Caenorhabditis elegans: one gene and its partners. The protein of the gene in region 3 interacts with the protein of the main gene of each other region in a pairwise test. Each region holds a gene or a part of one and is shown on either strand. Other genes may lie near its edges.

Region 1 (7,726 bases), about 15 Mb from region 3:
TCTGGATATATTTTCATATCCCATTGCTTTGCAAAACCTTTTTCAATTCAGTATTAAAAGATGGAAAATGGACTATTGAAAACAAAATTGCTTTAAAAATTTGTTTTAAAAAATCACAAAGCTTTTTTTCCAGATGTCAGAAATTTTACATGGAGTATTTTTGTGAAATACTAAAGGAATTACAAGCCGGATTAAATGTTTGAAAAAAGGCCAAATTATGTGTGACTGAAATCCCTAAGTTCGCCATTTTGTGGTAGTAAAAAATTAAGCACAATAAAAAAATCAAATAACTTACCAATAGATTTTAGGTCGACGTTTCGGATGCCATGTATAGTTTTTAATACCTTTCAGGATTTTTTCATACATAATGGGACTCATTCTGCTGTGCAACCGTAGTCTTCGGAGGTTCGGCAATTTTCCATTTAACCAATACAATACTATGTTGTTTAGATCCAATTCTTTGATTGAATGTACACATAATCTGATCACTTCACAATTCATTGATCTTAAATCTTGTAGTGTGATATTTTTGGCGTGGTAAAATTCTATCTCAGGAACATTGTAGATCTGAAATGAAATATGATTATAAGTAATTGGGATTTTTTGCAACTTCCTTACCAACTCTTTATTTTCGAAAAAGCATTGAATGTTAAGTTTTTGTTTCAACTCAATCATTGTCGTCAACTCGTTCATATTACTGGTTGATAAATTTTCATTTGGACCACCAAAAATTTCCACACATTTGCATTTATTGAACATTGGATGACTTAGTGTTGGCCGATAATCGCCGAATAACTTCTCATGGCTGATCAGTAAATCGAGGTTTTCAACAAAAAAATAATTGGTCAATAGAATTCAAAATTTCGATCAACTGATTCGGTTGGTCGTAGCTCATTGTATTGAATTTTTTAAATTTCGAATAGTCACTGAAAAAATTACAGTTTTATATGGCGATGCATGAGAATTGTTTCAGTAGAGTTTTATTTACTTGGGGTTTATATTAATTGAAGATTAAAAAACGATCTCGACTTAAGTGCTATGCACTGCGGAACTGAGAGTCAGGTACACTGCCTGGTCATCACTACCGACTGAGCAACCCCTCCGGTCTAAAATTTTTGAACTACCGTGAAATGTTAAAACATGGTTAGGTAAAAACTTTTTGAAAGTTTTCAAATGTTTAAGGTCATTCAGACTAAACAAATCACACATGTTTGAGAAAAAACTAGCAGAAAAATCAAAAAATTACCAAAACGTAGAGATGCAAAAGTTGGTAATGCTGATTGAAAAAAGGTTTGGATATCTTAAAGTCAGTAGTTTACCAGACTTAAAAGGATAATACATGTCTTCTGAAGTCTCTATAGCAATCACTTTGCTTGAAAATAAATCACTAGGATTTCGGAATGGTGGTAGATCAACATGGAAAACACGGTTGTCGATAAGAAGTTTGTAGATTTTTCGATTAATTTTTTTTAAATCTACATCTGGTTTCACCAGAATTTTTTGATAGTTCTATTCTGAAAACAATAGACATTTAGATAATTAAAACCTACTTCAACTCACACTTCAGTCAACTTCAATTGATGTATAATATTCCGAAATGCAGGATACGGTAAACCAAGTAGGTGAAAGGGTTGAATCTAAAAAATCAATAAAATTAAACGAAAAACTGTAAAATACATATGTTCTTGCCTTGTTTGACGGGGTCCTGATACCTCGACGTTTAAAAAATCTCAGACAAATAAATGAGGAGAGTTGTGAAATAAAGGAGCTCATACCAAATGGTAACTCAAATATGTAATCGAAAAAAAAAAACACTGAGCAGACTAACGGAGCAGGCGAGCGTCTAAATGGTATAATCGATACATAGAAAGTGGTTATAAATCCTCCAAGTGTGTGACATCATACATTGTGCACAATGTAGCAGTAGCTATAGTAGCAGGAAATTAGTAACATTAGATCTATCCTGTTTGAAAGCATCAATGTCGATGAGTTGTTTTTTAAATTAAAAAACCATCGAGAATAATTTGAAAAATAAAATATGAATAATCTGAAGTCCCAAGGAATACCAAATTTCTACTTGAAGATTCTCAGTTTTTGTAACTTTTTAGAAGTCTTCGATCAAAAAAAATCCTTTGAATAGACATTTTTTCATATTTTTATGAATTAATAATGTTAAGAATCCTTATTAGTTTGGGATATCCAAACATTTTTTAAAATTTATGTTAAAAAACAAAAGATTTCAATGTTCTATATAAAGCAGTTTTTATTACTTTCCAGGTACTTAGTATTCCTATATTAAAATAATTTTAAAAAATTTCAAAACTCTGCACAAATCCGTTTTTGGAGCTATTTTAACGACCCTTTACATCTCGTTTTCAGGAATTCAGGATTATGTTCCGCCGTTTCTTTTAAAAAGTTTGAGATAAAAAATTATTTTAGTTTTGATTTTTCGCTTACAGGTTTTCTAATTAACATCTCCTTTACTGCCTATTATCCTGTTTCTTTTTATAAATTTATTCTTCTCATTTATTATTCAGTGATTATCCAATATTTTAGAGAATTAACTATCAATCCAATTGTTCCTCAAAACTCCATAGTCTTGGATAGTCTTGAAAACTGATCGATACCATGCAAACGGTGTGTGTTGTTTTGTTGATTCCCTGCCGCATTTGAACTATTTTTTCACCGCGCGCACGCATCGCCCCTGTCCGTCTCGCCACACACTATTTCCGCGCGCTCTTTCTCTACCTCTCACACTCTCTCAATCTCCCTAACTCAAGTGTTCATTCTTGTTGCGTGGTCCCACCGGTTTGCATTTTTTCATCTCTGTCTTTCTTTTTCGTTGTATTTTTTTAAATTTCATTTATTTCAATATTTCATTAAGTTTTGATTTTTGCAGGTATGAGTTCCTCAAAACCTTACCCAAGCGGTCTGCCAAACTCGAGAAGAAAAAGAGGAGGTGAGAGTTTTTTGCATCAATTTTTCATTCAATTTGTAAATTCAGGTCGCCGCTCAAGTAGTCGTAGCAATCAGGAAAGTGCATCCAACAACATGGAACACCAAATCACTCTTGACGAATTGTTCAATCCGATCGCAAAACAAGACAGTGCTCAGTCAACAAGCCGTGAATATGGTGCAAAATCGGGGATATCTCATCACGGATCCGTATCATTCAACGGGAATACATTCATGAATGGCCAACAGCTGAATCACTCGATGACTCGACATGGTCGAGTATTCAATCAGTCGATGCATGCAGCTCAAGGAAACGGCAGCAACGCCTTTAACAGTATTCCTCCTACGGCCCCCGTCTTCTCTGCAGACTTCCGCCGCAACTTGCAAACACGCAATAGCTCCAGCTGGTATGAACGAAGATTCCCAGTATCCACAGATCAGGACGACGTTCAGCAATCAAACACAAGACGTAGTAGAAGTCGTCAGAATGGACAACATGGCCTAAGCTTCTCGGATGGTTCGAACAATTATGGTCACGCTGGGAATAAGTCATTCAGTGTGAGTTCCGTTCCCGTTGGGTTCCAGAAGCAAGAAAATAATTCTAAGAAACTGCGACAAACCAATGTTCACCAGCAATGTCTTGGAAATAAAAGCTTCAACGCTCAAGCTGGAGTTCATGGACACGCTTTTAAAAAAGGCCATAAGGACAATAAAAATGCATCTGGAAAGGAGGTTATCAATTCTAGTCTTGTCCAAAAGCACGATGCTATTAAGTCGCGGAATTTGAACCAGAGCTTCTCTGGATTTCCTACACATGAAACCTCATCGATGAAAAATCAACAACAGAAATCAAGAAACGACAGAAAAAAATCACGTGGTAGCAGCAACTTCCAGGATCGTACTTACTTCAACACAAATGACGATGAATTAACTGACGATGTGTTCATAGACGATTCCATGGATGCTGCCCGTGGTCGGAGATCTCGATCAGTCACTAAGAAACTTCAACAATCGACTTATTCAAAGCAGAATGCAGGCAGTAAACAATTGACTGAAAAATGCAAATCTTCTGAAGAAGCGGCTAAACGTAACCTGGTATCCAATGTATTCAGCAAGGACGGCACTGAACTCTCCATTGAACAGTTATTGGAAATTGTCAGCATGAAGATCGGACAACAGATTCACTTGCCTTCCAGCTCTCATGGAGAATGCAGCAATTTGAATCGGACATTACCAGCAAGTGATCTAAATTGCTCAATTGGTGAAGACTTTGACTCCAGTTTTGTGGATGCTAACAACCAAACCCTACCAGTGAGTCTTCCCAAGAAAACTTCACTGTCGATCAAGCGCCGTGGAAGTTCTCGTAGTGCCTCCCGTCTGGCCAGTCTTGATGTGACACTGGAAACTGTTGAAGAAGACGAGGAACCCACGCCAAGTCCACAGCCGAGTTCTCCTCCAAAGATCTCAAGAAGAAAGTGGACAGGAACTTTTGATGCCAACGTTGAGGAAATGAGACGTTTACTTCATGGGGACCCTGAGATGCCGAAATCTGCAAATCGTGCTTCCTCAAGGTATGTAGTGAAATAGTAAAATCTTTAGTAAAAATTTAAATTTCAGCAAGGATCAGATCAATCGGAACAATGTGGATGTAAAGAGAACACCTTCCTCGTCAATCATCCCAACTCCAAAGGCTTTGATCGGAGAAAGATGTCTGACATCATCCAGCAAGTTAGTTTTACACTTGGAGCTTCTTATTTCATTATATTTTTTACAGGTCTTCAAAGTTGAACAAGTCACTTGGCGTGGTTGATTCTAAAGCTACAAAATCACCAATGTATTCCGTCACAGTTTCTGGAAAAGAAACAGCTTCAGGAAAGCGAATTGCTCAAAAGTTGACTCCAAAGGTTGTGGCGCTGGAAAGGTATGACTTTACAAAAAACGAACAACATTTCCATATTTTCTTTTCCAGCTCTTACATTACCGGAATTCCAGTTTCCACGGATTGTAATGGTTGCCCAACTCCGAAGAGAAGTGGAATCAATTGTGAAATTCGTGCAGCTGAAGTATACAATCAAGCTGGGAAATGGCCCTTCGAAATCACCAGGTAAGGTCCAAGTTAATAAATCCGCTATCGATCAAGCATATGGAAAATAATGTACAAGCTGAAAAGATTGAGCTCAAAACTTGATTCAAATCCTGTAAAATTATTTTCTGAGTACAGTAAATTTCTTTCAGTGATCCGGCTCCACTTCCTTGTGAATCAGCCGATCGGATCGAATATCCTTCTCAAGATTGCACTCAAGATCCAGCTTCAACCTCGCCACCACCTCGCATTTCTGAAAGCTTGACAGCATTCCTGGAAGCTCAGCAAGACTTTAACGACTACATTGATACTAACTACAAAGAAAAGACACAACTCCTGAAAGTGAATTTGAATATTCACGGGATGTCACCTGAAAGATGGCTGTACTTGAATTATTTTTGCACCGAGACAATTCCAAGATTGGATGGTCCTTATGCCGATGGTAAGAAAGATAAGACATATTTAATCTTGAAAACTTTAATTTTTTCAGATCCAAGAGTTCCACCTGTGCGAAATATGTTCAGAAAATGGTTCCTCCGTTTTGCTGAAGCCTGCTTAGGAAATCCTCACCAGCTTGCAGTTATGCAAGAGATTGCTGCCACGTTTGTTCAGGCTCGGCTGGACGATACGAGCAGCTCCACAGACTCCACCAATATGCTCTACATGTTGTGGAAGGAGTGTATCGGACAGAAGAATATCATCGCAATTGCTGATGCGTGTTTACTTGCACATCTTCGGAAATCGGATCCTATCAAATACTTGAATGTAAAACGGGATTGGCTGGAATCTATTTTTGACCCACCCAGAGATCAATGATTGTACCAATTTATATCTATTACTTGTAGACTATATTGTATGTTATTCTTGTTCATTAACCCTTTATCCACTCTTGTTATATTTCAACTCGCTTCTCCTTGTGAATTTGTATTATGTCTACCCAGATACTTGTAGAGGGTAGTATTATATTGTTGTCTGGATGATTGATAAAGAATTGCCGATTCTTTAAGATTTGGAGTGGAACTAGAATAAAAGAAAAGTTCGAAATAGATTTAAGAAAAGATGATTGGTAACTGATTTGAAAATATACATATCTTCTCATAGATCTTTTTTGTGAAATTTAAATACTGTCATTAGGCAAAATAGTAGTCACGGATTCAATTTTAAAACAGATGCTTCAGATTTGTTTGGAAAAGTTCCGTTTTTTAATACAGGGTGGGCCATAATTATGCGCACTACTTTGAAGCTTCATAAAACCAAAACAAAAAACACATTAAACAAATAATCATATAGGTTTTGTTCTCCGAGAAAAACTAAATAAGATACCATTTTTGAATTCGAAAATATCACCGTCCGCATTGCTACAGGCCTTCACAAGTTTCGGAAACGCACCAACGATGGCGGACAAGTAGGCACGCTTCAGGGTTTTTCATGTTTTTCTCGGAGGACTCATTAGTTATCAAGTAAAATTTAAAGTTCAAAGAATGCTCTTGATTCAGAGATGCTTCACACAAAAAATCTAAAAGATTGATATTGTTAGGTGACAGTGGCAGCTGATTGAGTATCGAGTACTGTGAAATTCAGTCAAGGCCTAAACGAAGCTTGTGCGCGGAAGCACTGACATGCTAAGAAAATCATATTTGTGTTTTTAGTTATTATTTTTACCCAAGGTTTCATATTTTCTTACGAATTTGCTCATAGATGATTTTGCGGATCGGTGTGTCTCGTGGAACAGAAAAAAGTGATGCGAACTAATGGGACGGTCTTTAAAACACACACTATTATCCATCATTATATCCATCAGTGTTGGCGCATAACCACTTTTGCTGATTCAAAACATACGTAACTGGTTCACAGCTACTTAAACTTCATATTAATGCTGAAAATCAAAATTTTTTGGAATATTGGCCGGTGGTACAGGCTCTCCGCCAAAACACCACTTTGGTAGAGGGGTGCTTCAGATTGTCGTGGTTGTGGAGAGTGCATCTTGTTGAGAAACATATTAAATTTTATGTCAAATGGAAGATAATCATCCCGGCAACCAGAATAAATTAAAAAATTTGAGACATGACGTGGCAGTCGCGTAAAAAACTACAGTAAATAGGCTAGAAACGAGTGCGCATAATTATGGTCCACCCTGTAAAGTAAAAAATCATGTGAAACATCTGGTAGCAAACAAATAGTTGAAAAGCATACTCCAGGTTGACAATTTTCACAATCAGATCTTGTACATACGAGCATTAAACTATTAGTTTCAGTTGTGCTGTGAAAACTCAATTTTCACTACAAAAAAGAACACGATTTCAAAATATATTCCTAACTCTAATGCAAGAAGTAGCACTCAATTTGAAATCTCACAAATTTTGACCAAAGATCTTCTCGAAATTACTTGCAACCACACCAACTGACAAACACTGAGAACAAACACTGGAGAGCACCTGTTGTTATTCCTTGCTATTTCTTCGTTTGTTGTAAGCTCGGGGAGTTTTACCTCCATACTTCTTTACTTTTTTTCTCTAAATGTTTTTTTTCAAGATTAAAAATAACCAGCAACCTAATAAAATTAATTCGACTGTTATTTTAGTTGAAATTTGTGTCTTCACACAAGTCCGAACTCGGAGACAAAATTTTTGAAGTTTCATAATCTTTTCACAGAGAAAATAAAACTATCAAAATGCAAACGTGAACAAG
Region 2 (7,367 bases), on a different chromosome or scaffold from region 3:
TCTTCTGAAAACAGATTGTGAATTCCTAAAAATAATAATTCAGAAAAATAAACTTCAATTTAATGTATTTTTTAAATAAATGTTTGAATTATTAAAGCGTTTTATTTTGAAACTGTCTAATAATTTTTAGAACTTTGTAAATAAATGGAAACTTTTTTGGAATTTAAAAAATCGATTACAGGTGAAAAAGGATCCAGTTGTGATGTACACAAAAACATCATGCACATTCTGTAATCGAGCAAAAGATCTATTTTCCGATGTTCGTGTTGCTTATAAAGAAGTGAATTTGGACACTTTGAAGGCATCTCAACCGGATGATTATTTGGGAATTGTCAATGGACTTGTATATACTACACGACAGACCAGTGTGCCACAGGTTCGATAGATATTTTTTTTGCAAAATTTGTTTTAATCTTAATCTTAATCTGAAAACGGCTAGGTATAGAATTTTCCATAAAATTTAAAAAAATCCGAATTTTAAAGTTTTTCAAATAAATTTCTTTCAGATCTTTGTCTGCGGTCGTTTCATCGGTGGATACACTGAGCTGGATGCTCTCCGCAACTCTGGACACCTCTTCGAAGCAATTGCTCAGTGCACGGGAGAGAATTCGCCGAAAGAATAAACTTTTTCACCATTTCCAAAAAAAAAGTTTTTCTTCAGTTTTTGTCTAAATTTTATTGTAGTTGAAGGTTTTCACACCTACCACGATTTATGTGTATTAAATTTTTTTTGTTTCTGAAAAGATTTGTTTCCAATAAACTTCTATTTCTTCTTTGTGTATCGTAATTCCGCAAGATTTTGGCATGCCTTCTTAAAGGCGCATGGATTTATTAAGATGTGTCTCGGCGCGCAACAATTTATGGTAGTTGTTTTTTTTCTGCTGATTCGATCATGCTTCAACGAAATTACTTCGCTTTTAACAAAAAGCTTTTTTTTTGTTAAAAATGTGCATTTGAAGGCTAAAATAATGGGAAACTGATATATTACGGAACCAAATAATCCTGAGAATGCGTATTGAACAACATAGTTGACGCGCAAAATATCTTTGAATGACTACTGTAACGCTTGTGTCGATTTACGGCCTCGATTTTCGAATTGAATTAAAATATTTTATTTATCGATAATTAAATTATTTCAATTAATTTCAAAAATCGAGCCCGTAAATCGGCGAAAGCGCTACAGTAGTCATTTAAAGAATTACTGTAGAATTTGCTAAGAGATATTTTGCGCGTCAAATGTGTTGCGCAATATGCATTCTCAGAATTGTTTGTTCCCGTAATAAAGCATTTTAAACGGAAAAATGAAAACAAAACATAAAATTTTCTAAAGACGAGGTAATTTCAATGAAGAATGCAAGGAATTAAGGAAAGTAAACTTGGAGGCAGCCGAAAAATTTAAACAATGGCTATTTACCATGAACCTTTTCTCGTGCCAAGACACTTCTGAATAAATGCTTGCTCCTTTAAAAATGCATGTCAAAGTCTTATGATTGAGTTTAGCGGTTATTTAGCGGCATTGAAAATCAATTTATTCGATATCAAAAGAGCGAAAGAAAAAAAAAGATGACAAGGATTGAGAGAGAGAAAGAAATCTACAAGTTGACTAGAAAAAATTGAAAATCCGTACTTCGAATCATGTTCATATAATCGTAATTATCCAGATGTTTGGCGATATCGTCTTTTCGTGGGGTTTTATCACAATCTACAAGGGGATGGCTAGAAAGAAGAAATACCATTTAAAGAGACAACGGGAGGGGGGGGGGGGGGGGGGGGGAAAGGTTTAGACCTCCTCGACCTTTTCAGCATTCTCGACGTCTTGATTCATGCTTCCATATCCACCATCAATGCTTGCCTAAATCGTTGTTCTATTTTCAACAACCATCAATTCATTTCCTCATCTTCAACCTTACCTTTATAAAACTATTTGCTGTCTCTGCTTGATGGCTTGATGAGTATCCCTGTTGTTGATCAGGCAGTACAAAGTGACTGACTTGTGGAAAGGGTTGAGTTTGAACTGGATCTACAATAACTTCAACTTCCGGATGAACCATTGGCTGGTATTGCATATATTGTTGTGGTGGTGGTGGTCCATACATATACTGAACTCCTTGAGGTCTTCGGTAATCTTGTGGCATGTACCGAATTGGACGAGCGTACTGTTGTGGTTGAACTACTGGTTGAGGTACATACTCATAGTAGGTTCCTCCCGGGGAGCACATTCCAGGCTCTTGGTAGTTTGATGATGGCATTGACATTTCTTCGAATACCTGATAGCCTGTATAGTTGGAGGTTGGAGGTTGTTGGATGTGAGCGTGGTGGTGGTGGTGATGAACCATCACTGATGGAGGTGTTCCACAAACTACTGGCACACTTTGCTCGTAACAGCCATGTGATATTCCGTTTGCCATTCCTCCGAAGCTCTCTGCTTTCTGGAAAATTTAGAGGTTAGAGTTTGAGAAGCGTTTTTTGCGCCCACGGCATGTGATCTTAAATTTTTCGAAACTCGGAAACTTATGGAAACTTATGAAATGTATGAGAGATACTCGTAAATCGACATGGCTGAAGCTCACAGATATTGACGGCCACACGTTCAATCTCAATCATATATTGATTCAAAATCTTGTAGCTTAGCGATCGTGAGAAAGTAAAACTCGACGCTGTTTCTTTTTTGAAAAATCGATTTTTCAGGCGAACTCTGATACTCACCCTCATCATTGGATGTTTTCCAGTGCACAAATAACTATTATTGGAGCAATCAAATGATCTTTGCGGTGCCCATTGATGTCCCTGTGGTCCACTCATTGGTGCAGTAACCATTGATTGTTGTGGGCAGTTGAGTGAAAGTTGTCGCATCGGAAGACCTCGAACATGATGTGGAGATTGAGGTTGAATAACTGATGGTCCAGTGACTGCTGCCACGTCAAATGATTGTGCCCTTCGCATCATGAGTAGATCATGATTAAGACTTGCTTGACTTCCATATTGACTCGTCGAATGATCACCGAATGATTCCATATGGTGAAGTTCCTTGCGGGATCCGCAAGTGTTTTGTCGTTTCAGTCGGTCTTCTACGTAATTATCGTGCCGGATGTAGTCGGTGAAGTTGTCATCAGGACTGGAAATTTGTTACTTTTCTAGTTAAAATCTGACAAGACCAAATAAAGGGGCTAAACTAAAACAGACAAAATATTATGATTTTCATGATACATACATCCGAAAATTAATCAACTCACATTTTGGTTTTCTCTGACTTGTTCACAACAATATCGGTCTGCTTATTCGTAACATTATGATCAAGACCAAACCACGCGGCACACCTGTGAAGAAGCATTCGGTGATAGGATGATGGAAGCTCGAATCTTTTCGATTGTGTGCTGAAAATTATCAATTTCAGACTGAAATTTTAACAAAAACGAACCTATCATCTAAAATAAGTTCTTTGAGTTGTTTTTCGAACTCCAGAAGCTGCTTCCGATCTTCTTCACTCTTGTGTAACGTGCGATCCACAAAATTCCTTAGATCAATGCCACTTCTGTCCGAGTACTCGGTTCCTGTGGACTCTCTGCTTAACGATTTCGATGTGGACCACAGTTTATTCTGTGCGAGACCCGGTGGGCGGAGTTTTGACACGTCACTGCTTTCTGCTGGCTTCTCCTCTTCTTTGCCTTCTTCTGGATGCTCTTCTATGCATGGGACCGTAGTATCCGAGTTTTCTGATGGGCTATCAGAAATTGACAGGAGAGATATTGGCTAAAAATTAAAAAATTTCAGTCGAAAACGACCAGATTTTGTCTATAAACTTACAAACATTCTTCGAAATTGGGTGAAAAATATGAATTTCAGCAGACTTCCTAACAGGAACTATTTCAGTTTTCAGCGCGGCCTATGACACAAAATCGGATCATCCTCTGATGATTCACAAGAGAGTGAGCTGATCAATATGATAATAAAATAATGTATTCTCCAAGCAGCCGACATTTTACGGGTTAGTGATAACTTTTAGCCGGCTTCAAGAAGTTGTGTACCTTAGCAGCATACACCATACGGGACAAGAACTACATCAGCAACGGCACCCATATTCGAAGTCCGACACTTCGCGGGACAATTTCCCACCTTCCCTTGAAATTGCTCACCTCTTCAATTGTTGCATTCTGTTTTGAAAGTCGTCTTCGAACACTTCCATTCCTCCGAACTCCCTCACTTTCTGTAGCTGGCACCGTCGTCACATTCATTGTCATTATTACCGTAGTCGATCGTCGCCGATCATCTTGTTTTGCGTCTTCAACATCGTCAAGCTCTGAATTATTCTCTTCTGAAACGTCGTTTTCGGTTGACATTTACACCTGAAAATTTGGTTTTTGTTGGAAGCACAGAAAAAGCAGAGGATGAGAATTTAAAAAAATAGGATTCAAGAAGTAGTACTACCAAAAAAGAGCAGAGTTTGCATGAAAATGGAGCAGTGGGTAAGCTTCAGCTGCTTTAGAGTCTCCGCCCACGAATGTCCTTCTCCCCCATTCAATGCTAAGCCCCGCCTTTTGAGAACCAAAAAACGAGACGAAATTTCGCAATAAAAAACATAAAAATGAATATAAATACATAATAGGCCTATTTTTTGAAAAGGTATAATAGTTCGAATAAGAAAAAGAAGAAGGTATTTAAAAATTAAAAGAATTTCCAAGCTTTTATCTATGCAGAGATAAGAGATACCAAATAAATGTAAACAAAGAAATCTGAGGTGAAGCAGAGGTTCAAAGAAAACGTGGAGGAAGCAAGAAGGGAGGAAGTTAAAGCCCGTTATAATTCAATTTGCGGGTGTTTCTTGCGTATTCTTGCAATAAAAATAAAAATTCTATTGCGAGTAATTCAAAAAAAAATTCGGTATTTCCACTTTTATGTATCTTCTCGTCTAATTGTAAGTTACATAACGTCAATTTTACAACTGTGGGTCTTGTAACGGAATCTCTCGTTTATTATAGCTTAAAAGTGCATTGAAACATGAAAATTAACATTTCAAACTGAACTCCAGTCTTCGCGGTGGGACCCAAAATTTGTTGAACCTAGGCAAAATTAGTAGCTTATAGAGTTCAAAAAATTAAATTTAAAATGACTCTTCGAATTACAGTAATCTAGTTTTTCCAATCATGTCCTACTTCCTACCGTATGACAACTTTATCACCAATTTTCTATGAAACAGGCAACTAAATAAGCATGAATTAACAACTAAATATCACTGATAATATGCAGTTTCCATCCATTTTCTCAAACATTTCCAATTATTTCTGCGAAAAGCTCAAAATCAGATCAAAATCATTTTCAAGGGGGATTTGTAGGGGATTAGAAACTGCCAAATAATGTGTTTTTGTGGTGGCTCACGGGTGGGAGTGCTCATCTTGAATAATAATGGGTGGGAGGAAATTGAGGTGAGGTTTCCTAACGGAAATTGACTTTTAGAACTTTTTCGGTATGAATCTCTGGAAAATATAGTGCAAACGTAGTTCTACATCCAAAAACTTGATAACTTGAAAGAATTGTAAAATTCTTAGAATTTTTATTTGAAAATTATAAATCTCTTTTGAAAACTTTCAATAAAAAGATACTAACGAGCGGAATTCAGAATACCGTATTTCTTCTATTAATATGGCCTCCCTATTAGACTTGCACTCCCTATTAGTATTGCACCTTTGAATTTTGAGATTTTTACAACATTTTTTGCCTACTTTGCAACAAATTTTTGGTAAAATTTCTATGGAATTGAAGTTATTGTACCTTTTTGTTGCAATTGCAATCAAATTTTCTGAATTTTTACATAAGATACGAGTTTTTTTCAGAAAAAAATAGTAAGCTCAAAGTCAGAAAAATGTTCTGAAAATTAGTATTGCACTCCCTAATAGTCTTGCACTCCCTATTAGTATTGCAAGCGGGAAGACCATCGAAAAATAGTATTGCAGCCATATTAATAGAAGAAATACGGTAGTTTACTTTTGGTTAGATAAATAATATTTTTTTGCAAAGTTCAAATATATGTTTTCTCCATTTGGCTATGTTGTAAACTCTATACTAAAAGTATAAACTAACTCGAAATTTTCATTTCTCACTATCAGAACATGAATAAATTTATCCACTCTATCTTTGAGACACAGAGTTTCATACTTGTATTCTATTATCGACAAAAAGAGCCTATGCAGATGTTTTTTCTTCGTCTACATTCAGCTTTGTTTCATACAAATGACGTTAACAATGTGCCCAACGAGAGAAATGGAAAAAGTGAAGAGACACAGGAAAGCAGGTGGAAATGGAATCTGAAAATGAAACAGGTTGAGGCTCAGAGTAATTGAAAAATTATAGAATTTGGGGAAATTTTTTTTTCCGTCAAAAATTCGAAAAAGGAGCCCAAAAAAGCATTTTAAAAAAAGTTTAACTATCATCTTCCAAAAATAGCAAGAATCGTGATAAATGTTAAAGCATTGGGAAATGTTTCAGATCATGTTAAATTCAAATAAATCTGATGTTATTCGACTCAATGAGGTCATTGAACGAGAAATAAGAAAACTACGTGCATCAATGAATTCTGCATGATTAAATCCTCCACGTGATCGTCATAGTGCTTTTTGGAAGGAATATTTGATGTCGACAGTAGGCCTCTAATTCAGATCCAGAGTAAAGGTTAGAAAAAGTAGTCAAATTACCGCTGATTCATGATTGCCAAGTTTCTCGAGTTTGGAATTTTGGGTTGCCGAATAGTTTCCGATCTTCAATTATTCCTAGAACATCAATAAACTCAAAGAATAAAAATTTCGTAAGCGGATCCCGGTGATCATTTCTCAGGTGAGTGAGCAATTATTTCGTGAGTCATGTGATCTCTACTCGGGGTACATAGAACGTCTTTAGTTTGGTTTCGGCAAATCGGCAAGGACTTCAGACTTGGAATTCGGCAAACGTTTCAGTTCGGCACTTCGGCAACCGATTTGAAACCTATGACTCATAGGAAATATTTTCTCAAATGCTCATAAATCAAAAATGATCCATTTTGATCCCCCTCCTTCTCTTCCGCCACTTTTTATTTTCTTGAACTCGTTCTTTTCACTTTCTATCCGTTTTTCTTTCCCTTTTTATGTTCTTCTGCCATTTTCTGTTATTTCCTCCTCTTCTTTACCTTTTTTTTTCTAAACAACTCATGAAAAAACTACATAGTAAATATGAAATAGGGATTTACCCTTGACACCATAGAAACACAAACACAACAAGAGAAATTGCTCAGGGCTTGGGTTGGGTTTTTGGTTACCAAAATAAGAAAGTTGAAATTTCAACTCTAGAATATCGGCTACTAAGTTTTAAAACAAACTTGAAGTGAGAAATTTGACAATTTC
Region 3 (7,181 bases):
AAAACATTTAAGGGGAAGCCTCATATTCATAAATTCTTAAATGCCCACAAAAACAGGAAAATCGGATTCAATCATTATAATAAACATTTTGACATATTCTTCAGGATTACATAGGATTAAGGACTAATACAAAAAGAAATGCATGTTGGGTGATCTCATTTCACCACGCTATCCGTTCAAAGTACTTTTTTGCTCGGCAGCACGTGCATTCAAGGAGAACATTTGATATTTTAGCCGTTGGTAATAAGTGTGTGTATTCGAAAATATTCGGGAAGCCAAATAAATAATTCTGAATTATTTGGGGGCTTAGCCTGGAAAAACAAATCGATCAGAAAGTCAAATTAGATTAACAACATCATAATTTTAACAGGATTAAATACATATTTGCTGAAAAATTAGGAGAATGTGATAAGGTCAAACTAAATAATTTATTGAGATGTTTCGAAAATTTTTATTACAAATTGGAATTAATAACGAAGATGTTGAAAGCACTTTTTATACTTTTGAAATACTCAAAATGACTTTTAAAGAATTTTGTTGCTTTTTAAAAAATGATATGGCGATTTGAAACTTAGAAACAGTTGAAATTTGAGATTACTAAGAAAAAATTGATATATTAAAAATTTATGTACGTAAATCAACAGCTGAGTTGAGAATTATTTTTCCAAAAACTTTTTTTCCAAAACAGAATCAAAGGTGAGCAATTTTCCTTTACAGACCGGACTTGAATTTTTTTTAAACATTTCAAGTATTATCATTATGCAAATTTGGTTTTTGAGATCATTTTGCGTACTTTGTAGTAATAAAAAAACATTGAAGGTGAATTGAATAACATTTTCTCGAGATAGGAAAATCAATCAAAAATCGTACTTTTCAACTACTCTATTTCGAATTTTATTAAAATTCTGGAATTCCATGACAAACAAGGCAAAGTTGAAACAATAAAATTCAGCGAAAATTGACACTTGTGTTTACACTGAATTCTTGAGAATGGACGTCATAGAAATGTGTATTCGTTTCCGAAAATGTCCAAAAACAAAGCAGAAAATTGTTGTGAAATTATTTAACAAATAATTTGAAAGTTACAATTTTAATGAAAAAAAAATTTCATTGAAATGATCACCTAAACTAAACAGAGATAAGGGAAAAACTACATTTGGAGTTATAAAAACATGTTATTTTATACTTTGGAAAGGTGCAATTCTCAGGATTGACGTAAGTATTTTTTGGTGTCTGAGAAAAAAAAACCAACTAATAGAAACAGCAATCAAAAATCGTCTCAAAATAGAGCACACGTTCTAAAAACTGTCATTTCTCTCGAAAACAAGATCCAGAATACTTTTTCATCTCCGAACACAAGCCCCGATAGTTTTTCGCGGTTGTTTGCACTATTCCCACATGATTGAAAGTACACTAACAAGATTTTGCCAAGCAAAACCCCACAGTCTCATAAGAAATTGAAGATCAGGATTTAAAAAAAGAACTAAAAAATACTCACGTTTGATTTGAAGTCGAAAATCGAATGGGTCGCAATGTCGTGTTGTTTAATTGGCTGCTGCTGATACTGTGGACGGTAGTGATTATGTTGCTCTTTCCCAAGGTAGGACTGGTGGTTTTGATGATTTTGCAGTGGTTGATGATTCTGATTCTGAACCGAATGCACTTGAATATGACGGATTGGCGGTGTCGGCGACGAGTGCTGATATGTGCTGCCCATGTCCACGTGAATGACTGGTTTGGCACGAAACACCGCGCTCCGTGGACTCATATTGCCATTGGTTTGCGGTACAGCTTTAGCGGTCGCCGCAACTGGTACATGCTCGTTGTATTTGACGGTTGTGGTCGAGAGTTGCACAACGGGAGTGCCTGGTCGTTTTTCGAATTCTGTGATCCGAGAGGCAACACTTCCGGTCGAGGGCACCGGGAAGTTCGGTCCGTTTCGATACATGGTTCGCGAAATTTGATAGCCAGGAGTATGAATTCCAGCTAAATGAAGTTGTTCTTTCACATTATGCTTCGGTTTTGGATGCGGAAGTCCTGTTGGAATCTGATACACTGAAGAGCTCTCGCTGACCTCATCTGTTGGGGATGGAGAGTGCAGCTTCCGGTGAAGTGACAAAGCAGGAGACTTAGACACCTCAATTGGTGGGGGACTAAAAGCGTGTTCACCTGTTGGAAATCTACCGCAACCTCCAACTCGTCGGTTTAGAGAATCATTGTGAACAACAGGTGCAGGTGACACGGATCCAAATGTTGTTCCGCCAAATGTATTTCCACGAACAGTTCTTGAGAGTTCATTTACAGCATTATCCAGTTCATTGAAACTTGGAATTAGGAAAGAATTTGACGGAAAAGCTGGATTCAATGGAGTTCTCGGCTTCTCGGTGTATTCGACGGATGGTTCTCTCATCAGCTCAGCTTTTCTTGCAGCAACTCCTTGACCACTGCCAACTCTCTGAGTAAACCTTTTTTCAGTGTCGATTGGTTCTTGTAACATTTGAAGTCGTTCTGCTGCTGTTAAACTTGTTGGAATTCTCTGAATTGTTGGCGAAGAAGGTCTCGAGCTGATGGTTTGACTCCAGAAATTATCCAATGCTCCGGATTTTCTTTGTTCTGGAGCTTCAGCTGCTCTTCGTTCAACCGCTCTTCCAAGAAGCGAACTATTCATTTCATAGTTACTTGAAGACTTTGAAATTGGCAGCTGTGCTCCACGTCGTGGCAAAGTCATTGACCCAGTGGTCGTAAAAGCGGATGGACTCAACAAGTCATCGCTTTCCAAATTTTGAAACCGATTCTGCAACTGTTCAAACGATTTGCTCCATTCTGATGTGCTTCGACTCATGTTGTCATCAAGGAGACGTTGAGCAATAATATCCAACTGATCCGTGTCGTGAAACACGGGTTGACGAAAACCTCCGGACGACGCACTTGAGGCGAGTGCGGGTACTCCGTTGTTGTAAAATTGATGAGATGAAGAGGAAGATGGCGGCGGCGGCGGCGGTGGATGACGATGAAACTCAGATCGATTTTCGAACGGGTGCGCCTGTTGCTGCTGCTGTTGCAATGACGACTCTCGTGGAAGTGGCAGAGGAGGACCACCAAGCGAACTTGAGTGCTGATATTGATGCGGGGTAGAGTTGTGGTATTCGCGATGAAAAGTAGAAGTTACCGGACCGTTCGAGGTGAAGGTTGTTTGCACTCTTTGTTGAGACGGATATCCGTTTCCGTTTGGAACCACGTTTTGATAAACCGAAGTTGTCGATCGAACACCGTTTGGGACTTCTTGGCGAATTGAATACTCAATTAGTGGAAAGTTAGATTCGGACGATTGATAGGTATACGATCGTGTCGGTGGAGCCCGATCCGTGTGAATTCTGTCGATATAGGCTTGCACGGCTGGTGAGTTTTGCACAGAGTGCTGTGCAGACGGGTAACGAGAGAGTAAGTCGAGAAGTGCAGAGCCACTGGCTGGCGATCTTTCGCGAAGGTGTTCCGAGAAGGAAGAGGGTACTGACAGGTTATGTGACGAGTGGTACTCTGAATGTGACGACCAGGGCGTGGTTGAAGCTGGTCTTCGTTGTTGGGACGGAAAGTTCACTTCAGCAGTACGAAGTGGTCCTTGATTCCACGGCTCTGGAATGTGATCCTCCGAGATTGTTCTCGGCTGATGTTGAAACGCTGATCTTCGATTATCGGCCGACTGCGACCGGAAACGAGTAGTTTGGGGGTCGTTTTCAGCACCAAACGTGGTTGTAGTGGCCAAACCACTGCCTCCGTACCGTAACGATTCCGATGGAAACTGCACTGACGAGGACGACGGCTGGTTGAATCTTGCGAAGTAGTCGTCGTCAAGATGGTACATTTACCCTTTGCTCTCGCAAGTACTGAAAGATGTCCGAAATTGGAAGAGAGATTAAAAGAATGGCGGGGGAAGAACAAAGAAACGAGATATTTTGCAGGACAACTGTTGAGTAGGTGGCAGCAAGTTGGAGCAAAAATGCACAAAAACATGGAAAAACGCAACAAATCAAACAAACTTGAGAGGCAGAGTGAGAGGTAACAAAGGAAAAAAGATAGGATCATAATCAAATTTAATAGAGGAAGGAGGATTGATTCATAATGAGAGGAAAAATACTACTTAAAAAATTTTTTATTTGCATTGCATTTTTTATTTATAAAATGAACTTGAACCCACTGGTAACTTAAAATAGAATTATATAATAGATCAGTATCTAGCAGGTAGCAATTAGTGGGAAAACATAGATTGAAATGAAAGTGCGAAAAAGAAGAAGAATAGGAGTGGCCTGAACCAGCAGAAACTGCAGATTGAAGTGATTAGTAATAGTAACAACTTTTCCTTTAGGAGGAGCGACATATTTTGTAAGAAGATTTGGAAAAGAAGATGTGATGAAAGAATGAACGATAGATGGTGATGATGATGAGAATTCTGAACATTAATTCTACGAAAAAGGTTGAAAGAGCTCTTAGAGCGGAGTTTTTAAGCTAAAAAACCAAAACCACTATTCAAAAATCTAGATCCTAAAAAACTAGAAAAGCGGATACGAAAAAAAGTGGGAGGATAAAAGATGAAACGATGATCAAGCGAAAAAAGACAGGTAGTAGTGAGCGAGTGCAACCAGAACGTCGGCGGTAAAAAAGAAAAAGAGACGAAGCAGCAAGAAGAGAAAATGAAAAAGCAGAAAAAGAAGAAGAAGAAGAAGCTGAATGGTCTAGAAGCCAATAAATTGCGAGCCCCTCGAGAAGACTTTCGAGGCGAAAGCGGCGACGAGCCGATAGAACACTGGTATTGTTACAGCGGGTAGACGGGGCTCCCGGCGAGAGCGAGGGAGAGAAAGAGATGGAGTATATATTTTCTCGAGGAGAGACGGAATACGTTTTTGCTTTCATTTCAGAGGTCCGTCCTTCTACACTTCGACGACCCCCGACAGCTGTCGCTAGATCGCCTGCTCTTTTTCTCTCACTCTCTCGATGTATCATTATCGGGCACTCGTCAAGTGCAATCCGTGGTCACCTAATCATCATTCCTTTTACGTTTCACTATTTTTATATTGAACGGGAGAAATATTAAAAGCGAAGTTTAGGAATGGAAGATGACGGCGGCTGAAAAATGACTGAAAAAAGGAATTGATCCTATGGAGTTCCAAAGCAAGTTTCATTTTGTTCAGTAAAAAACTTTCTGGAGGACATAGTTTATGAGACTGAGTTATCCTGGAAACAATGCAACAATCTAAAGAATAAAAGCAATCATAATCAAGAGCGAATATATTTACAAAATTTGGTACTTGTGCATTAAAACCCCGCATTTTTAAAATTAATTAAACTTCCATTTATCTTCCGATTCTGATAAAACGTGATGTTCATTTTCCCTGTTTAGGCTTAGAAATGATTAAATGTTTATAAGCCGAAAAATACAAAAACTCGACACGTTTTTATTTAAAAATTCATTTTTAATATGAGGGATTAGAATACAAGTACCTAAAATCTTATTTCAAATTTTTGCAAATTTTTGTCATTTTTTTTCAAAATTTCAGTGGAATTCTTCTTAAAAACAAATCTAGCTGAAAAAAAATTTGAAAAAATTCGATATCATTTTGTTAGGAGTTCATAGGATACATTTTCCAAATATCTAAATATTTATTAGAGAAGCAAGTATGATTTTTTGGCAGCACTCAACGATTTTTCTGTTTGGAGTTGAAATTATTGTTGAAAGATTCTCGATTTTCCAGGGTTTCTAGGATTTCAAGCAAAATCTTTCAAATAAATCTTTTTTCCAAAAAACTGACAGTCAGATTTGAATAAAATCTATCGAAGTTTGTTTCTGAAATCTAAAATCTAAATTTCATAATTTTTTTTCATTTTTTCTCCAGAAATCAACAAATTAAAAATCTTGTTCATTTTAATTTTCAGGAAAAAAATATCAAAAATGCTGCTCCGGATAGAAATTATCTTAAATGGTATCAAAAAGAAAAATTCAAAAAATTTCAATTTACTTTTTTAAAATCAAATTAAAAACGACCATTTTATAATATCCCGGCAAGTAAAGTTGAAAATTTTCAAAAAGAATTTGATACTAAGAACTAGGACTTGTTATAAATCTTTGAGAAAAAAGAATGCCACCAAAAAAAAAGAAAACAAATAATGAAAACAAGTCTAAAAGTTATGTGATTGCTACTATGATTATGATTATGTGATAGAGTAGGACAAAAGCAGGGAGAAACAGAGAAAGACGGCTCATGCTCTATATAAAGTTTATTTTGGAGCGAAGCCAAAGATAATTACACGTTTCTTTTCCTAACTCTACAAATTGAAGCCTTTTTGACCAATGATGATATCAGTGTCAATGAAAAACAGTTGTCAAGTACAAGAGGGGAAGGATATGAAATCTTTTATTTTAGGTTTTTTTCAAATTTAAATAACAATCAAGGATTTGATAACAGTGATATCATGAAATAAGTTCAAGTGTTCTAGAAATGAGCTGGGTTTACATAAACAGGTGCAAACTCGAAGTCTGACTTAATTTCCCAAAAGTTTTTGAACGCGGGAAGAAATTGGAGAAACATCAATAAAAACATCAAAATTGTTTTACAAGGAGATGCTTCTTGTTATTGAAAAAGGAAAAGCCGTATTGCACAGCGCAGATTTTATACACTCATTTTAATTTATATTTACCCTACGTTATTTTAAGAATTAAAATTATTTGAAAAAACATATTGGGAAAATATTTTTTTTCGTGTGAAACTGAACTCAAAAATTTTCAAATGCTTCATAGCCATTCTCACAGGAACTTTAGAGTACAACGGTTTCTTTTCATTATATTGATTAACTTAAAAAATGTATATAATTGCAGTTTTTGTTTTATAAAAAACTGAGAATGCACAAAATATTTGCTAACAAACTTTAGAAAAAATATATTGCTTTACAGCTAGATTTTTAATAATCGGAAACAACTTTTCACAAAGTATTCTATGTTACCTTCATTTTCAAACTAGTTAGAACATACTGAGATAACATTTAAGTATGAAAGTCGTAAAAGAAACCAATTTTTTGATCAATATCAAATATGATAAACGGGGAAAACTATTTTTGAGCAATTTTCTGCTTATACTCTAATTTAAATACAAATCTTAAAAATAATATTTAAGTTCTTACTGGAAGCGCGG
Region 4 (7,971 bases), on a different chromosome or scaffold from region 3:
CCATTTCCTTCCATTTCATTTCTTATCAGTGCCAAATTGAATGATTTATTATCTTAATGCGGCGATGGCTTGTAACCAACGCCCCGTTTTTACATTTTTCAACTACCATCGGTAGACCGAATTTATACAATTTTAAATTTAAATTGATTTTAAAACTGAATCTATTTTAGACTTTTCTGCCTACCAGGCAAATTTGCCTGAAGTTATGTAATGCCTTGATGTTTTGCCTTTTTCGTATATCGTTTTTGTTACCTTTAGATGACACGTCTCGTACTTCTCCTATTTGTTCCGGCACTGCTCGCCTTCGATTCATCATTCAATTACGGATGCCAAAATGGACAATGTACCTTCCAACTTGTGGTTCCCAAGGTGACACATTTTCAATACATTTTCACATAGTACTGAAATTCTCAAATTGAAATCGTTCAGGAAGTGGCTCAAGCTATCGATGAACAAACCCTGAACAATGAAGTTGCAACTATTGCTTCAAGTCTCTCAAAATTGGATTCCACAATTTTGAAATTTAATGACACCGGTGCATGTGCCTTCACAAAAGTAAATTTGTGCCAATTAAGCTTTTCTAGACTATTGAGCAATTGATTTCAGGGTTTTAATGCGAACTTCACAGTGGTCAATGCAACTGGTCAGAGCTTGAATGATAATGTTCAAGTTGCTAGTAATAATGCATCAGGTAAATAGGCAGGAAGTCTGTACTGTAGTTTAAAAGTTTTAAGTTAATGCATATATTTTTGGAGTTCGTAAATTTTTCTGACCAGGTGTGCTCTTAAATTCAATTCTCACATTTGAAATTTCCCGTATTCCATTTTATTTCCAGACCTACTTACCGCATCAGCAAACGCCAACACAACCGCCACATTGCTTTACAACTCAATTTCTTGCTTCCAACAAAATGTAAACTCCAGCTACACATGCTTCTCACCTCCAAGCACTATTGCTCCGTCTACCATTGCTCCATCCACAACTGCCAGCGATGTCTCCACTGTAAACCCTGTGACTGACAACGGAAGTACCGTGTCTCAAGGAACTCAGCCGACTGGTGGAAGTACTGCTGCTCCAGTGAGTACTGATGCACCAGGTTCTACTGTCTCTGGAGCAACCGATGCATCCGTTGCATCCACAGCTGGTGGAGATACTACTGCAAGTGGAGCTTCTGTGGTATCAACCGCTGCTTCTTCCGAGGCCTCTACCGCCGCACCTGAAGCTTCTTCCGCTGCCGCTACTGTAATCAGCGGCAAGCCAGTTTAGGAACTCTTAGATTTCTCAGAACCACATCCTGATCGTCAGCTCGCAGAATTTCATGATGTAATAAAACCCCTTAATGGAATAAATTCGATGAGGCTGTGATTCTGAAAAATCGCCCAATTTTATTCATTATTGCGAATAAACATATTTCATTTCAAATCCATTTTTTGAGAGGGTACAGTGTGAAAATTTACAACTGAAAAATGGCCATTGCTCAGTTTTACCACTCCTATGTTTGGGAGTCGACTCTAAATTATTCAAATATTAAACAAAAAAACCAAAAATTTCAAAACCAAAAATTTCAAAACTTGAAATTTACTGAAACAATGACTGAAACATTTCTATGCTTAGATGCTAGATGAGTAGAACTTATTACACAGTTAAATTTTTTATTGAGCTTAATTTTATCTCCATAAATTAGTCAATAGAATGATTGCCTAAAAGATCCAATGAATAATCGATAATATTGATTGGTTTGCATTGTTGATCTGCGATGAACTGCTTGAAAAGTCCCTTATTCAATGCATCCACAAATCGTTGCATAGTCTGAAATGTTACAATAATCGAAGCCTGATTTTGAAACGAGCTCCAAGAGCAGCAGCTCTACCTGTTGCCTAATCGAAAGAGTAAGATCATCTTTGACATCATACGAAATCATTCGAATCCCATGAATAAAAAACGCGGTGTGTAGAAAAGTTTGGAAGAACTCGGCAGTTTGTTCAGCTTCGTTTTTCTTGGCGAGCACTTTCTTTTTGGTTTTCCAAATTTTCAGCATTATATCCATAATGTCATGCTGGTCACAAACAAATGGGAATACAGAGAGAAGTGGGTCAGATATAAATTCTGAAATTAGTTCAAAATATTGTTTGGGTGGGTATGAAATCCTACCAGCACTCAATGGATTCCGATTGTCCCGAATTAAAATGGTTCCAGCTCGTCGGCGGTAAAAGTGGAAGAATGGTAAATAAAGAGCATTGAATACTATGACATCGGGGAGGGAGCTGGAAAAATAATTTGGGTTGAACTTAAAGTCAGGTCAGGGATCCAGATTTTCAGCTTTCTTAGTTTCCAAAACTCACTCCACATATGAAACCTTATCCTTGGGAACATCCATCACTTGAACCAGAACTCTTCTTTTCGAAGCTTCCGGCAACTTCATTTTTGTCATCACTTCATCATCCAAATACAAAACATTCGTTCTACTTGGCACTGCTTTATCATCAATTATCAGTCGCAGATATGTATGTCCCAAACTCTTTTCCTCAATTCCTATTTGTGTCTTCACCAAATGAGATGCTTCCACAACAAGTACCACTGTCGGAGATCGATAGTTTGAGCGGAGAACAAAATCAGAAAACTCGATGCAGCTTCTCGTCTGGCTCTCTTTTTTCTCAAAGTACCACGTTGAAGATTTGACACGTGGCACAAGAGTGTGCACGTTGCTCACAATTTGAGTGGATTTTGGATTTGTGATGTCGACAAGAGCCATTCTGACAAGTGCCTTGTGTTCGATTAGGGGCATCTTTTCAAATCGAACTAGACGGATAATTTTTGATATATGGACAGTTCGCTTGTAAACCTGCAAAAAATATAGTTGATTTATGAAAGTGAGCAAAAAATGTGTTGCTATGAGTAGCAAATGATTCATAGTAAAAATTTTTAAAGCAATTTTCTCAGCCGTTTTTAGGAAGACTCAGAGGTTTTTTGGCAAAACTGTAGCATTTTTTGGGTAGAAACTGCAAGTTTTAAACTTTTACCTGATCCTTGTAATGACTCCAAAAAAGATCATGAAATCCAATATTTGAAGTTGATAGTCTCGGAGCCATATGGCACACTAGTGACAAGTGAGTGTCATTGTCATATGCTTTACCAAGACAGTCATCAACTCGAGATGCCTGCCGGTTTGCTTCTCGTCTTGATGGATCAGTAGTCGTAGATATTCCGATCACCGAATCTCGAACTCCGAGGCGACTAGACACTTTTGATGGCTGAAAATTTCTACTTATTAAACTAACGATACTAGAGAAAAGTAACAAACCACATTCTTCGGCTTTTCCTTAACATGTTGTAAATAAGTCTTTGGCACAAGACCCCTCTGACCATATTCATCCAGTGCAGTCCACCAACCATCGGATCTTGTCTGTGTGATTCGATACTTCTTTCCTTTGATTAACTCCAAATCCCCTTCAGCTTCTGCATCCCAACTGTCAATTGCAACAAAAACATTGCCACGGACTACAACTGGTTCCATAACTTCTCCAGAATCTCCACGACTCGGATTCTGAAGCCTTGAGATGACTTCATCAAGTTCTTGACGTTCATTCAAAGTCTTTGATTCAAGAGGTTTTGTAATTGTGATAGGTTGTCTGGGTTTTGGTTGAGGTTGCTGGTGCTGTTGCTGTGGAGGCTGTGGCTGACTCGGAAGAGGATCATCCAGCTGAACATCCGTCTCAATAATTTCTGAATCATTATCAGAATCTTCTGATTCATCATCGTTATACATTGTGCTTTTTCGGCGGCCAATTGCAGCCATTTTCGGTTTTTCTTCTTCTGATTGAGAGTCCACACTGGAATTGAATATTTAACTATTTATTAGAGAAATTGAATTTAATTATAATTTTACCTGACAGAAAACGATAATTGCTCCTTTTCCGGGCTCAAAGCTGTCAATCTTTGCTTCAACTTGTCAAGTTGCTCTAGAGCGTTTTCTTTCTTGTAGGTCTCGTCAGTTTTGGCCTTTTCAATTCGATTTCGGTGATCGTCGAGCTGCAAACTGTATGCATATGTTGATATCCTTGAATGATACTTCTACGTAGGCACGAGAATGCCTACCTACCAGAGTGCCTACGGTCTACACATATGCCTAACAATTTTTCAATGTTTGTAAACAATTAATTGAAATTAAATAGAAAGTTGGTCGACCTAAAATCTATGAATCAAACCGGAGATCCCATAATGGGCGGTAGGTAGGCCCGTAGGCAGCCAGGCATAAGGCAGATAGAGAAAATGCAATTTTTACCTGTCTATGCAATTCCTGGCACTGTCTGACAAAATGTTTGCGAAAACTTGCTCTCGACGCGGCTTCGGTGTCTTTTTGCTCTTTTTCGAGGCGATTTATCTGAAAAAAAGGCTTTTGCTATTTTTCCTTGAAAATACGGTTTACGGTCTAGACACGACAATTTTTGTCGAATGCGAAAAGTTGTGTGCCTTTAAAGAGTACTGTAATTCCAAACTTTCGTTGCAGAGGAATTTTTTAGTTTTTTAATAGTTTTTAGATGAAAATATGTACATTAAATTTAAAAAAAATTCTGGAATTTTGAATTACAGTACTCTTTAAAGACGCACACCTTTCCGCATTTAACAAAAATCTGTTGTGACGAGACTCAGTTTTAATTATACGTTTGAAATTTAATTAAAACGTTGAAAATGCGCCCCACTGCAACTTTTTGGGTATTGAAGGGATTTTTTTAGTTGGAAATGAACAATAAACCACGAATTCAATTTTTAGTTATTTAATAATGTGTAATGGAAAAATTAAAAAATTCACAATAATAATTTTTAAATAAATTACAAAAAAATCCAAAAATTGAAAAAAATCGAATTCCTTTTCAAATTCGTGTTAACAATTAATATTCCCCACCTGATATTCAAACTGCGGAAATCGATTTATGGCATCCTGCAGACTTAGAATGCTTCCAAATATGGACATCCTGCTTTCCTCTCCCCCTGGAAAGCTCTTTTCCGCGCGGCCACTTGCCTTAAGCCACCCTCGTTGCCCCTGGCAACTTGCGGGTTACCACCTGCCAGCTCCCCGCAAATGTGGTTAAAAACTGGTGAACTGATGGTTTATTAGTAAGGAAATCGAGAGAGAGCAGATAAATATGCAATTTTGTGGGGTCACTCGGTCAGTTAATTACGGGGGAAGAAGCTTCAACATTGAGAGAACGACACTTGGAATGAATGAATTAAAAACGGACTGTACAAAGAACACGCGGGATGATTTGGGATATATCTTAAAACTATATGGAATCACTAATTAAAAAATGAAATAAAATAAATTATGATTGAATATTAATTTGTTCGATGACATCATATACAGAAGTCTGAAGTCCCCAGTACGTCCTGCACAAGTCGTAGAGTCCCGTTTTCAACCCATTTGTGACGTAGGCAATTGTCACTCGATTCTTGAGATCTGTGATGACCATTTGGCATCCGTGCCCGGTATGTCCGAAGCCGAATTGAGTCTGAAAATATGGCGAATTATGAAAGAAAAATATTAAAAAAATTCACTGAAAATTAAATAAAAAAACGCTCCTAACATTTTGCAGGTTCTTTAGCTAAATTTAGGGTTTTAAATATTTTTTCTATGCATTTTCATTTTTTGAATGAATTCGAAATTAATGGTTTTTCAACAATTTCTCCTGTTTTTTCGTTTTCTGTTCACCACCTGGGCTCTTTTTTTTTGGTCCTTTGCTAATTTTTTGGGGGTTTCAAAATTTTTTTTTTTTTGCTTTTTTCGGCAGTTGTAATTTTATTACAAAAATGGATTTTTCAGTCTTTTTTAATGCAAAAATTAATTTTTGGCTGTTTATGTTTTATGTTTATTTATTTAATTTATTTTTAATTTTGTTAATTTTTGTTATTTTTGTTAATTTTTGTTAATTTTTGTTAATTTATGTTTATTTAGCAAAAAGGTACTTTTCGGGTTTTTTTGAGAAAAATTGATTTTTTTGAATTTTTTATGGGAAAAAGGACAGTGGTTTTTTTTTTCGCAAAAATGGATTTTTTAAAAGTTTTTTTTGGCAAAAATTAAAAAATCTGCTTTATTGGATGAATTTTGACTTTTTCGTTCTTTAAGAGTTTTTTCAGACTTTTGTTGGTTTTTTTGGTTTTTTTATTGTGAAAATGGATTTTTTAAAATTTTTCAGTTCAAAATTTCCATCATCCCTCGTCCCTCTTTCGATTATTCAAAATCTCACCCCAGCTCTATGAATGGGCAAATGGAAAAATCCGTGTCCCTTGGCGACAGTATCATCAAAAATGAAATCACTCTCGTTGACGAACGGTTTGCTTATCGTGTTCAGTGTAGCCTGATTGAGAAGTTTTCCTCGATTTACCTGAAACAATCCTCTTAACTATCGTTTTTGTTTCAGTTTTTTTAAACAGTCACAAGGAAATTTCCTTTTTCTTTTTTTTTGTTCGACTTAAAAATTTCTTTTCTTCGCTATCAGCCTAGTTTCAGCTGATAACGATGTTCAAACAAAACGAAAAAAAACTTAAAATTCTCATAAATTTATCAAAAAAACGAGAACAAACCTTGTCAAAAAGTGAGGCAAGAGAACGAGCATTTCCCATTCCAAGTGCGGCAGCTTGCTCCAATCTGGAAAAAAAACATGAATTTTAAAAAATGAAATAGCATAAAATATTGGTCAGATGCGAGATTTTGTCTCAAAACTATGACAATAGGTCTCGAAGCGACTTTTAAGGAGTACGGCAGTTTCTGAATTCTCATTTTAAAACATTTCATTTATTTTTTTATACTTTCACATGCAACATCGTAAAAAATCCAAAAAGAAGCGAGGATTTGGAAACTACAGTAATCCTTAAATTTTGGCATTGGAGAAAATCGGCCGCTTCGAGACCTGGTAGTGTATTTTTTGGGGGAAAATAGCAAAGTTTCGGATCTGGGTAACAGAATTTTTTGCGTAAATATACAAAAATTTGCTCGAAACTACCGAATTTCATAATGCGACATTACACAAAAAAAGCCAAAACTTTTATGGAGTGTAAATATTTTAAAACTTCGAAAAAAGAACCGAATTTTGCTGAAATCTGAATTTTAGCCAATAGTTTTTAATGAAATATAGCGGAATTGAAAATGTTTCGTTTTTTTTTTTTTTTTTCCGTTTTTTCCGATTCGATTTTACGAAAAATATCTTAAAATGCTGGTTATTTGTATTTGTTTAAGAATAAATTTATATGTTTCCTCATGTATTTTCCATCAAATTTGACTTTTTTTAACGTGAATTTTATGATTAATTTTCTGAACACATTTTTTTCGATTTTCCGGGCAATTCTCGTACCGATGATAATCTGGATTATTGATCGTACATCTGGAGACTGCTTCAAGCCATGATGGATTTTTGACAATGTGTGAGAGTGGATGATCCTGAAAAATGACATGAATATATATTACGGGAGCACTAAATTCTGAGGCTGCGTACTGCATAACATATTTGACGCGCAAAATACCTCGTAGCGAAAACTATCTTAAAAAGACTACTGTAGCGATTTTTGAAAGTTTTTTTTTGTTGTAATTTTTGTGTTGTATTGCAATATTTTATCGATTTACCAATAATTTATGAAGAAATAAATCAACTACAGTAGTAATTCAAAAAGTTACTGTAGTTTTCGCTACGAGATATTTTGTGCGTCAGATATAAATAGTGTTCCTGTATATTTTTTATAATTACTTTTCCGCATTTGAAACTATTTTCTATTTAAATAAACAACAAAAGTTCATTCTATAGAATATATTTCCATGTTTCGTGTCTTCAATTCCCAAATCATATGATTGGTACATGATAAGCGGTGCTGCAGTATACCGGTACTAGAACAATCGGAAACACACAAAAACTGAAACTATTTGCAATTTCACTTGATTGTTGTGGACTCCCGGTTAAGTACCGGAACACTCTGATAATTTCA

The links.
Region 1: the proteins of F43B10.1 (region 3) and meg-3 interact in a two-hybrid assay, tested with the Caenorhabditis elegans proteins (one large-scale study listed by BioGRID).
Region 2: the proteins of F43B10.1 (region 3) and ZK121.2 interact in a two-hybrid assay, tested with the Caenorhabditis elegans proteins (one large-scale study listed by BioGRID).
Region 4: the proteins of F43B10.1 (region 3) and nphp-1 interact in a two-hybrid assay, tested with the Caenorhabditis elegans proteins (one large-scale study listed by BioGRID).

Annotation. Positions count from the first base shown.
Region 1 is NC_003284.9:1,984,781-1,992,506, reverse strand, and holds meg-3 (uncharacterized protein), read left to right. Parts: upstream 1-2,899; 5' UTR 2,900-2,901; coding exon 2,902-2,959; intron 2,960-3,004; coding exon 3,005-4,526; intron 4,527-4,572; coding exon 4,573-4,683; intron 4,684-4,729; coding exon 4,730-4,876; intron 4,877-4,924; coding exon 4,925-5,059; intron 5,060-5,190; coding exon 5,191-5,480; intron 5,481-5,528; coding exon 5,529-5,854; 3' UTR 5,855-6,038; downstream 6,039-7,726. Other genes in the region: Y40A1A.2 (F-box domain-containing protein), read right to left, coding at 1,460-1,514, 1,561-1,637, 1,690-1,773.
Region 2 is NC_003281.10:5,338,660-5,346,026, reverse strand, and holds ZK121.2 (R3H domain-containing protein), read right to left. Parts: upstream 4,346-7,367; 5' UTR 4,338-4,345; coding exon 4,134-4,337; intron 3,751-4,133; coding exon 3,419-3,750; intron 3,375-3,418; coding exon 3,234-3,374; intron 3,116-3,233; coding exon 2,707-3,115; intron 2,430-2,706; coding exon 1,911-2,429; intron 1,853-1,910; coding exon 1,781-1,852; 3' UTR 1,768-1,780; downstream 1-1,767. Other genes in the region: glrx-21 (Glutaredoxin domain-containing protein), read left to right, coding at 182-376, 507-623.
Region 3 is NC_003284.9:16,650,622-16,657,802, forward strand, and holds the start of F43B10.1 (EF-hand domain-containing protein), read right to left. Parts: upstream 3,891-7,181; 5' UTR 3,863-3,890; coding exon 1,499-3,862; intron 1-1,498.
Region 4 is NC_003280.10:10,647,258-10,655,228, forward strand, and holds nphp-1 (Nephrocystin-1-like protein), read right to left. Parts: upstream 5,000-7,971; 5' UTR 4,973-4,999; coding exon 4,904-4,972; intron 4,382-4,903; coding exon 4,283-4,381; intron 4,030-4,282; coding exon 3,887-4,029; intron 3,831-3,886; coding exon 3,302-3,830; intron 3,252-3,301; coding exon 3,021-3,251; intron 2,843-3,020; coding exon 2,343-2,842; intron 2,265-2,342; coding exon 2,152-2,264; intron 2,107-2,151; coding exon 1,871-2,106; intron 1,810-1,870; coding exon 1,681-1,809; 3' UTR 1,636-1,680; downstream 1-1,635. Other genes in the region: M28.10 (Flo11 domain-containing protein), read left to right, coding at 259-369, 430-555, 607-691, 836-1,266; lact-3 (Beta-lactamase-related domain-containing protein), read right to left, coding at 5,322-5,507, 6,243-6,380, 6,580-6,643, 7,347-7,432. UniProt on the Caenorhabditis elegans protein: Plays a role in the extension of dendrites from phasmid ciliated sensory neurons. May be necessary for initial assembly of the cilium.